Arabidopsis thaliana: one gene and its partners. The protein of the gene in region 1 purifies or fractionates together with the protein of each later gene. This does not show direct contact. Each region holds a gene or a part of one and is shown in the gene's direction. Other genes may lie near its edges.

Evidence for each region.
Region 2: the proteins of AT2G42270 (region 1) and PKL fractionate together in Arabidopsis thaliana (co-fractionation; one large-scale study listed by BioGRID). This does not show direct contact.
Region 3: the proteins of AT2G42270 (region 1) and AT3G49830 fractionate together in Arabidopsis thaliana (co-fractionation; one large-scale study listed by BioGRID). This does not show direct contact.

The regions. Positions count from the first base shown.
Region 1 is NC_003071.7:17,602,347-17,606,101, forward strand, and holds the start of AT2G42270 (U5 small nuclear ribonucleoprotein helicase), read left to right. Parts: upstream 1-1,983; coding exon 1,984-3,755. Other genes in the region: UVI4 (uv-b-insensitive 4), read right to left, coding at 1-283, 548-937. UniProt on the Arabidopsis thaliana protein: RNA helicase that plays an essential role in pre-mRNA splicing as component of the U5 snRNP and U4/U6-U5 tri-snRNP complexes. Involved in spliceosome assembly, activation and disassembly.
Region 2 is NC_003071.7:10,711,911-10,715,665, forward strand, and holds the start of PKL (chromatin remodeling factor CHD3 (PICKLE)), read left to right. Parts: upstream 1-2,154; coding exon 2,155-2,229; intron 2,230-2,497; coding exon 2,498-2,641; intron 2,642-2,735; coding exon 2,736-2,873; intron 2,874-2,963; coding exon 2,964-3,118; intron 3,119-3,220; coding exon 3,221-3,382; intron 3,383-3,650; coding exon 3,651-3,755. Other genes in the region: AT2G25169 (uncharacterized protein), read right to left, coding at 696-805, 1,004-1,068, 1,433-1,548, 2,021-2,104. UniProt on the Arabidopsis thaliana protein: Chromatin remodeling factor that represses the expression of embryonic trait genes (such as NFYB9/LEC1) upon and after seed germination and thus enables the developmental switch to post-germinative growth. Silences some MADS-box proteins such as PHE1 and PHE2.
Region 3 is NC_003074.8:18,480,108-18,483,862, forward strand, and holds the start of AT3G49830 (P-loop containing nucleoside triphosphate hydrolases superfamily protein), read left to right. Parts: upstream 1-2,141; 5' UTR 2,142-2,275; coding exon 2,276-3,027; intron 3,028-3,163; coding exon 3,164-3,755. Other genes in the region: AT3G49820 (uncharacterized protein), read left to right, coding at 1,130-1,615.

The DNA.
Region 1 (3,755 bases):
TATCAATAGAGTTGAGGAGCTTCTTCTCTGGAGTGAGGGCATCTTCTTCCCCTGTGTTTTCTCTTGTGATGTCGAGCAAAATCTGATGGACTTTAGCAGTTGAGGGTGGCCAAGGACGCTTGAATCCAATAGATGGACCGGGAGTAACCATAGAATAGTCGTGCTCGAGATGAGCACCTGACAACGGTACTAGAGAATCAAGAACCCCAAGTTGTTGTGGAGTTGGGGTCTCAATATCTCGGCCAACACCTTCTCCCATACGAGCTCTCCTTCTCTCAATAGCCTGCATATAAGAGTTTGTAAATAGCCAGACTAAGCAAGCCTTTTGGTAACAGGTTATGACTTATGATATAGTTAACAAAGAGGCTAAGCAAGCCTGTTACAGAAGACTAATCTAGCTTATAAGCAGCAGATTCTGAACCAATATGCAAATCACAAACCAGATATAAACAGATCACAAATTAGCTATATATCAATGAAAAAAACTCCAGTTAAATCTAAGAATAAGCAGACAAATCCAAAATGAGACTAGGTTTAGTGAACTAACCCTAACAACGGCAGAAATATCACGGAGGGGCGTTCTTGGATACCAAGAAGGTAAGACAGAATTTGAAGCACGAGCCCTTCCACGCCTTGTAACACCCAAGCTCATGTTCTCTCGTCCCTGTGGCGATCTAAATTGAATTTGACCTCTTCTACCACCACCAGTCCGCCGAATACCGAAATTACCCCTCACAAGCCCACCTCTTCCCGTCATAGATCCTTGACCAATTGACCCAAGTCCTCCTGTAGCTTCCGATGGCACTCTCTGAACCGGAGACCCAAACAAATTGTGCTGTGTTGCTGGTTCGTCAAGTAAAATACCATGCGAGCGTCTATTGAGAAATGCGGCTGGGTAATCAACTTGCCTCTCTATTCGATCTCGTGCTTCTGGCATTTGTGATTGAGCGCTGAAGAAATCAAACAACTATGCCATTAGAACACACCCAAAATCGAAATCGCAACATTAAAACCCAAGAACTCAGTCTTGTTCTCCATTGTTAATCAGATTTTCTCGAAACCTCATAAACAACAAGAAAAAGAGATCAACTCTTCGTTTTCGCAACAAATCTCCGTCACATCACAAAGAACCTACTTGAACAAATCAAACCATGGATTTACCTATGAATCTTCAATAGATTCCTTCGTGATAGCTCGGAATGGCTTCGTGAACGGTAAAGTGGAGGGGACAAAGGAGAAAAAGAGAGAAAAGCTTTTGAGAGAGAGACGATCTGGCAAACAAAATTTAGACCATTTTCTAGGCGGGTTTTGTAATTGAAAATGAAAAATTTCGAGCTCGCACGTGTCAAAGTGGTTTCACCTGTGTGAAATATTTTGAATTTTTCATCTCACGCGGGATAAATTTCGTTTTTTTTCAAAGCGCACATTGTCACAATTCGTCAAATTCTTTGTCAGATTTCAATTTTGCCCTTCTGAATAAAACTGGGCTTGTGGCCCAATTCTATTTACGTACGCATTGCTTTCAAGATCGAATCCTCACCGTTAATTGTCATAGGATCCAACCGCTGCTTTTTACTAATACCAGAAAACCGGATTGGCTAGTTGGTACGGTCTAATGATACGATAACTTGCTCTGATTATACGAAAACACTCATCAAGAACCAACTCTAATTAATGTTTTCTTCTAATTATAGTTAAAACGGATTGAACCGGACAATTCCATAATTTTAGTCGGCTTCCGGACAGGCCTTCGTGGGTTTGGAATTTGTGGCCGACAATGTATTGTCGGTTTAAGACTTGTTTAGGGTGTATATATAAGACTGTTGAACGAAAAAAAAAAAAAACTCATCGACTCGATCAAATTCTTAAGACGACGATTACGGAGAACGGGAGAGAGGTAATAGAAGAGTTTTTCGTTCCGAATTTTGTTTTGTTTCATTGATTTAATTCTTGGAATTTGGGGTTTGTTTTTCCGATTTGGTGATGACGAATTTGGGTGGTGGTGGTGCGGAGGAGCAAGCCAGGTTGAAGCAGTATGGGTACAAAGTCAATTCCAGTCTTGTTCTTAACAGTGATGAGCGTCGTCGTGATACGCATGAATCTTCTGGTGAACCGGAGAGTCTCAGGGGTAGGATTGATCCGAAATCCTTTGGAGATCGTGTCGTTAGGGGAAGGCCTCATGAGTTAGATGAGCGGCTTAATAAATCTAAGAAGAAGAAGGAACGTTGTGATGATTTGGTGTCTGCTCGTGAGAGCAAAAGAGTTCGTCTTAGGGAGGTGAGTGTACTTAATGATACGGAGGATGGTGTTTATCAGCCGAAGACTAAGGAAACAAGGGTTGCTTTTGAGATTATGCTTGGTCTTATCCAGCAGCAATTGGGTGGGCAGCCTTTGGACATTGTTTGCGGTGCGGCTGATGAGATTTTGGCAGTTCTTAAGAATGAATCCGTCAAAAACCATGAAAAGAAGGTAGAGATTGAGAAACTACTAAACGTTATTACTGATCAGGTTTTCAGTCAGTTTGTTTCGATTGGAAAACTGATTACAGACTATGAAGAGGGTGGTGATTCTTTAAGTGGTAAAGCTAGTGAGGATGGAGGACTTGATTATGATATTGGTGTTGCCCTTGAATGTGAAGAGGATGATGATGAGAGTGATCTTGATATGGTCCAGGATGAAAAAGATGAGGAGGATGAAGATGTTGTTGAGCTTAACAAAACTGGAGTTGTCCAGGTGGGTGTGGCAATAAACGGCGAGGATGCAAGACAGGCAAAGGAGGATACGAGTCTTAATGTTCTGGATATTGATGCTTATTGGCTTCAGAGAAAGATATCTCAAGAATATGAGCAGAAGATTGATGCACAAGAGTGCCAGGAACTCGCAGAAGAGCTGCTTAAGATACTTGCTGAGGGTAATGATAGGGATGTTGAGATCAAGCTGCTTGAGCACCTTCAGTTTGAAAAGTTCAGCCTTGTTAAATTTCTGTTGCAAAACCGTCTTAAAGTTGTGTGGTGCACCCGTTTGGCTAGGGGAAGAGACCAGGAAGAGAGGAATCAAATTGAGGAGGAGATGTTGGGGTTAGGTTCAGAGTTGGCAGCAATTGTTAAGGAGTTGCATGCCAAAAGAGCAACAGCCAAAGAAAGGGAGGAGAAACGGGAGAAAGATATCAAAGAAGAAGCTCAACATCTTATGGATGATGATTCTGGTGTTGACGGAGACAGAGGCATGAGAGATGTTGATGATTTAGATTTGGAGAATGGTTGGTTGAAGGGCCAGCGTCAGGTGATGGACCTGGAGAGCCTTGCTTTTAACCAAGGTGGTTTCACGAGGGAGAATAACAAGTGTGAGCTTCCTGATCGCTCTTTCAGAATACGTGGCAAGGAATTTGATGAGGTTCATGTGCCGTGGGTTTCTAAAAAGTTTGATAGTAATGAAAAGCTTGTGAAAATTAGCGATTTGCCAGAGTGGGCCCAACCAGCTTTTAGGGGAATGCAGCAGTTGAATAGGGTTCAGAGCAAAGTGTACGGCACTGCTCTTTTTAAGGCTGACAACATTCTTCTTTGTGCTCCAACTGGTGCTGGGAAGACCAATGTTGCCGTGCTCACCATACTGCACCAGCTTGGATTGAATATGAACCCTGGTGGAACGTTTAATCATGGTAATTACAAAATTGTCTATGTTGCACCAATGAAAGCCCTTGTTGCTGAGGTCGTGGATAGTCTATCTCAACGTTTGAAGGATTTTGGAGTTACTGT
Region 2 (3,755 bases), 6.9 Mb from region 1:
TACATGTGGATTGATGTTGAATGACTCTAAAAGATATTGTTATGATACAACAGTATCTCAAAAAAGATTCAGACCAAATATTTTATTGTCTTAATTATTATTATTATTTTTTTTTTTCTATAAATCCGATATTTCCCCAAAAGCCAAAAGGGTGATGTGAGACCGTTATACTTGACATATTTTATATATTTTATTTATATAACCTATTTTGGATCGTTTCCAACTATAAGATATGGGGTTGATAATTTTTGATTGTACATGAAGATTTTGTGTCCTTTGTATTGTATTCTATAGTCGAACTTGGACCACGTGTAATAACACCGGAGCACGCATTTTATAAGCTTTATGCTAGTATCCATACGATTAAATTATAGTTCATCATCATTTGTTATACTATATATTGATGTCACATAATAATTCAGATTTAAATATGGTAATGTGTTTGTGAACTATCCAAAAAATTTCAAAGAAATATACCAAAAATTTAATAGTTAAAATCTGAAAACAAAGCATGTAATTTAAGCTACAATTGTTATTACATATTGTAAGGGCTACGCAATTAGTTCTTGACAGTTGGTTGACTACATAACACTTGCTGAAACCTACGTTTTAGCGTTGGATATCTCTCTATATATTTTTGGTCAATGTCGTTGGAGATTGAATCCTAGATTAAATCCTACAAGAAGAAGAAAGCTTCATGAGAAGAAGAAGATGAAGAAAAGAGAAGAAGCCAAGCTTGGAAGAAGAGAAGAAGAAGATGTCGTGACCAAAGGAGGAAGAAGAGAATAAGAAGTTGTCGTGACCACTGACCAAAGGAGGAAGAAGAGTCAACGACACAAATCCAACATAAGAACGGAGTTGGATTTGTGTTTTGTAATAAGGCCATTGGGCCGTAAGTGAATTATAGCCCCACAAGTGTTAGTGGGTTTGGTTGGTTAAGTTTAAGCTAAATAAGTTAAGGTGGATATAACAAACATAGTTGCACCAATGCATCTCAGCTCACCTGGTCTAAGCAACGGTTTCAAGAAGTTGCTCGCTTCTATTGCTCCACGCCTCCACAAGTAGCTCCTACACAAGAGTAATAACTCATTAGTATAGAGACACAAGATTATACAAGAAATACTTAGTAGACATAATTGTTCATCTCCAGTGTTAATCCTCAATAATTGTTCGATGCAGTATTCTTCTAATGAGATGAAAAATCATTTTTATAGAGTTACCACCCATCAAAACCATTTATACAAAACGTTTTACTTGGTCAGAGTAAAAAAATGCATACAAGTATTGTGTATAAATAAAAAGGTCATCTATTAATGTATAATCTGAATCAAAAAAAGAAAGAGCACCTGCACCAATAACAATGTGAATCTCATCAATGAACAAGATTGTTTGCCCATTCGAAGCATATACTTCCTTCAATATTGTTTTAAACCTTGTCTCAAAATCTTCTCCATAATTAGCACCAACAAGGAGTGAACCCACGTCAAGAGATTTCAGCTCCATGATAAATAGCGAAACCAAGCAAAGCATGTTAAATCTTCCTCTAGCCTCTTTGAGGGGAAAAGGTAAATAAACTTAAATATTTAAAAATATCTAAGTTTATATAATAACAATATTGGGTAAGTGAAAAGTAATTGTCATTATTTTTGACACTTATTTTTATAAGTTAGAAGTAATTATAATTTTTTCAAACAAAAAAGTAAGTTTTTTGTGTGTGAAAAAATAATGATATTGAGAAGGTAATTTAATTAGAGGTGATATTTTATACCTTAAGAAGTGTATTAAAGTTAATAATAACCATAAGTTAAAATTGGTAAGCTAAATGTTAGAAATCATTTGTGTTGTCTGAATTTTCAAGTTTCGTTCGTTTCGGATTACTTTCTTCTTCTGCAAAAACAGATCCCAACCATTTCAAAGGTTCGTCTTCTCCTTCTCTTCCACACTCTTCTCTGCTTCACTTTTTACTCTATCTTCGACTAGTAATATCGCTTTCGACTTCTCAAATTACTTCTCAAGTTACTATTTTTCTCTTCCTTTCTTTCAAATTTTCGTTACAAACTGAGTTTGAAACTGTTTGGGTTTTGTAAAGTTTTGATCTTTTCATGATATTGCGGTAAGAGATTGTTAATTCGACTTCTGGGTACTCACATTTCGATGCTCAATTGTTTATTCTTATGGGTAATTTTGGCTAGGGTTTTTTCCAATTTCTCTCTCGTTCTCTTTCACAAGGTTAGTCGATCTTGCTCATGTGGTATAGAGTTTGATGAATCGAGTTGTTTAGTAGCTATTGTACGAACTATCTCTTGATATAGTTGTAAAGGTTTTAGATTGGGAACAAAAAATTTCACTGTGATGTTTGTTTAGGTAGTAGAGTTCAATTGTGTGAAACTCTAATTTCATAGTTTGCTTAAGTCTCAGAACTAGCACTGAGTCTATTGTTATATGTGTTGTTTATGTAAGTTTGTTGTTATTGATGGGAGATATGTTTTGTGTGCAGAAAATGAGTAGTTTGGTGGAGAGGCTTCGCATACGATCTGATAGGAAACCAGTTTATAACCTAGATGATTCTGATGATGACGACTTCGTTCCTAAAAAAGATCGAACCTTTGAGCAAGTCGAGGCTATTGTCAGAACTGATGCGGTTTGTTTCTCCTCTCGAGCTTATTGTTCAGCTTTTACTGTTTTATGTGTTCTATTTTAATCCTTTTTTTTGTGTTGTTACTCTGAATTTGTAGAAAGAAAATGCATGTCAGGCTTGTGGGGAAAGTACTAATCTTGTAAGCTGCAATACATGCACTTATGCGTTCCATGCTAAATGCTTAGTTCCACCTCTTAAAGATGCTTCCGTGGAAAATTGGAGATGCCCTGAATGTGTAAGATTTTAGTTACGGTCCACAATTATGTTTTGGGATGCTACAGGTTCCATTTTTCTTACATGGAAGAATTGTTGTTTACATTTGCAGGTTAGTCCTCTTAACGAGATAGATAAGATATTGGATTGTGAAATGCGTCCTACAAAATCTAGTGAACAAGGTTCCTCCGATGCGGAACCGAAGCCAATTTTTGTGAAACAGTATCTCGTGAAGTGGAAGGGATTATCATACCTTCACTGCTCTTGGTAGTTACTGCGTGTCTTTTTTGCTGTCTGGACACGCTAATTATCAATGTTTCTTTCTGTGAACACTATAATATGTGATTTATTTCCTTTTACTAATCATAGGGTGCCTGAGAAGGAGTTCCAGAAGGCTTATAAGTCAAATCATCGTTTAAAAACCAGAGTGAACAATTTTCACCGTCAAATGGAGTCATTCAATAACAGCGAAGATGATTTTGTTGCCATACGTCCTGAGTGGACCACTGTTGATCGGATTCTTGCCTGCAGGTCTAGAGAATGGAATTAATTCCTTTATTTATCTATCTGCCAACTTTTTTTTTAATATCCTTGTTTTCAGCATAATCCATTCTCTAATAAACACGTATCTTTGATAGAGTGCTGCTTAACCTAAATTTACTGTTATCACGATTTTGGGTCTCTGAAACATGATAAATGACCTGCTTACCTTTTTTTTCTTCTTTTTAAGTTACCATTTTCTTAGTTGTTTCGTAAATCAGGAATTGTGACAGTTGCATTGGTTTCTTTTATGATATAGAGAGGAAGATGGGGAGCTGGAATATCTTGTCAAATATAAAGAGCTATCCTATGATGAATGTTATTGGGAGTCAGAATCAGACATCTCAACCTTCCAGAATGAAAT
Region 3 (3,755 bases), on another chromosome or scaffold:
CATTTTATTCTACCATTTTTGTCTACGCTTTCGTCATTCTCGGTGTTACCAATCGAGCCCATGACATCGGTAAACATGAATACACTATAATGCATTGCCTACGCATATGTTTATCTTTAGTATTTTAGGCTTTAGCTCATTTATTTTAACGTTAAAGAAGTGTGAAACAATCTTTTAATAAATGCAAAAGTAGAAGCACGAAGGAATAAAAAAGGTATATACCGCATTCCTACGCGTATTCTATATGTTTGATTTTCTAGCCATTTTAGCTTTGGACTGTCACGTGAGTCGTGACGCTCTACCCCCTAAATCTATGTCTATAGTAGTATGTACATATCAGACACATGCATGAGGCACCTATATATTTGTAAATAAATTATACACTATATGACGTATGGATTCAATGATACCAAGAGTTTTTGCTTGTAACGCCCAAGATTTTCGAAACCTACAATCTAGGATCTAAATAGTGTACCTCCAGTTATAAATTATATTTGTCGCTCTAGATAAGTTAGAGTAATGGCCAAATCTCGATAACAATTTATTTGTGATCTCCTCACATGAATTTCTTTGGAACCAAATTAATCCCAAACGATAGGATTCAATAATCAGTTAAAGTTTTGTAGTATTCGATAGTGGGTTAGAGTAATGTAGTGATGCAAACAAGAGTGCTAATCTATTGGGTCTATACATTGGATCAAATTTAATATATGGGCCGAACTATCATACCAAGCGTCATGCTTTGAAGAAAGTAGTTGAACCAAGCCATTATACCCTTTTAACTACTAACTAACCCATCTCAAATATCCAGATTTAAATTGGTGTCCATATTATATGAAATAAGTTAAGACTGATTTGCCAACAAGGCAACAACACCTTAATAAATTTAAACATCTAACTGAAAGAAATGTATTTAATCATCCAACTAGGTACATTTAAGAATAGATCACATTCATAATTTTGTTATTATCATTTACAACAGTCATCATGGATTTGTCTTCTCTTTGATCCTGTCTTAGTGTCTTGAAATCTTTGAGCATTTCTTCTTCTTCGTCTCTTATAATATATTTAAAAGGTTATATATTTACATATATACAACTTTGATTTCGATACTCTTGAGAATCCAATAATGAAAGCGAAAGTCATAGAGAAAGAGAACTGCTTCGTATGGTTGGTTAAGGCTCCTTTTCGTCTGTTGATCATGGCACGTGACGCCTACATACGAAGCATTACGTCATGCTCCGGCGCCGGAATTTATTCCGGTGGTGGATCATCTGGTTTTGGTCAACTCTCCGGAAACTTCCAAATCTGCGATCCGCCTAGCACCGCCCTTCCTCGAAGCTTTACCTTGACGTCGGCGGCACATGATCAAGGCTGTCTGACACGTGGCGGACAACCTACGATTGCAATGAGACAATCATTGTCCTTGGATCATCGGAAGAACAATAGATGCGTTGTTGTGATGGGAAGAATAGATGAGGAGATGTCTTGTGATGATGATGATGAGTTTCAAGAAGAAGACTCTTTTCTTGATTATGGTAATTGCGAGATTCTTACAAAAGAAATAGAAAAACCATCTGTTGACCAAAAACATAAGCCTCTAGGACGATTTTGATTTTGATTTTTAGGTTTATTATTAGGTTGTTGCATTGTGCTTATTGAGAAATATGGATCAAACACTTGAAAAGAAAAATCATTTTGTATCATTTAATATTATTTCTTGTATTACTTATAATTGATGTTAAAAAAAATTACATACGATTCTAAAAGTGGTGATGCAAATAATTCACATTGTTTTGTTAACAACCAATGCAGTTCTACATGATTTTAATATCATGAGTAATTTCTAAAAACAAATTACAACAAAAATTAATTTCTTTTAACCACAATAACTTCACAAAATTACAAACATAAAATACAAATTCAAAACCACAAGCACAAAAAATAATAATTTAGAAAGTTTATCAATTACTATTTTTGCTGTAAGAAAAAAAGTTTCTCAATTTTATTTTTGTCTGCAATATCTTTACAGATTCCAAAACAAAACAAAAAAACTATCTTTTTATTTATATATATATATATATATATATATATATAAATGTAAACTTCCTCATAAGTAAATTAACAAGAATATATATCAAACAAAATCTTGTAATTTTTTAATATAAATAAAGCTAAACCTTTACGAAGAAGAAAGACTCTGGTGATTGATTCTCCAAAGTCTAAACCTAGTAAAAGCCAAGTCTCATTCCTCGGGTGAACTCAACAACCGACGATGGCAGAACTAAGGTTATCAGAAACTCGAGACTTAACTAGGATCGAAAGAATCGGAGCACACTCACACATACGAGGTTTAGGTCTCGACTCAGTACTCGAGCCACGAGCCGTATCCGAAGGAATGGTTGGTCAAATCAAAGCACGTAAAGCCGCCGGAGTAACCCTCGAGTTGATCAGAGACGGCAAAATCTCGGGTCGGGCTATACTTATAGCGGGTCAACCCGGAACGGGTAAAATCGCAATAGCAATGGGTATAGCAAAATCACTTGGACAAGAAACACCATTCACTATGATTGCAGGAAGTGAGATCTTTTCTTTAGAGATGTCAAAGACTGAAGCTTTAACTCAAGCTTTTCGTAAAGCTATTGGTGTTAGGATCAAAGAAGAGACTGACGTGATAGAAGGAGAAGTTGTGACGATTTCGATTGATAGACCTGCTTCTTCTGGTGGTTCTGTGAAGAAGACTGGGAAGATAACAATGAAGACGACTGATATGGAATCTAATTTTGATTTGGGATGGAAATTGATTGAGCCATTGGATAAGGAGAAAGTACAGAGTGGTGATGTTATTGTTTTGGATAGGTTTTGTGGGAAGATTACTAAGCTTGGAAGATCTTTTACGAGGTCTAGAGATTTTGATGTTATGGGTTCAAAGACTAAGTTTGTGCAGTGCCCTGAAGGTGAGCTTGAGAAGAGGAAGGAGGTTTTGCATTCTGTCACACTTCATGAGATTGATGTTATTAATAGCAGGTTTGTTTCTTGATCTTGTTCTGTATTTGTCAATTGCTTAGTTTTAGGTTTAGGTTAAAAAGATTGCTTCTTTTTCACGTATTGATGCTTTTTCAAGTTCTTATTTGGATTCTTGTTTTCTTTCTGTTGTTTGCAGGACTCAAGGGTATCTAGCCCTCTTCACAGGTGATACAGGCGAGATTCGTTCAGAAACCCGAGAGCAAAGCGATACTAAAGTGGCAGAGTGGAGAGAAGAAGGGAAAGCTGAAATAGTACCTGGTGTTCTCTTCATTGATGAAGTCCATATGCTTGATATCGAATGCTTCTCTTTCCTGAATAGAGCTCTCGAAAACGATATGTCACCAATCCTGGTCGTGGCTACAAACAGAGGAATGACAACAATCCGAGGAACAAACCAGATATCAGCACATGGGATCCCAATCGATTTTCTTGACCGTCTTCTTATTATCACAACACAGCCTTACACACAAGACGAGATCAGAAATATTTTAGAGATCCGTTGCCAAGAAGAGGATGTGGAGATGAACGAGGAAGCGAAACAGCTTCTGACTTTGATCGGATGTAATACCTCGCTTAGGTACGCGATTCATCTAATCAATGCAGCTGCCCTAGCTTGCCTGAAACGTAAAGGGAAAGTCGTAGAGATTCAGGACATTGAGAGAGTTTATAGATTGTTTTTAGACACCAAGAGATCGATGCAGTACTTGGTTGAGCATGAGAGCGAGTAC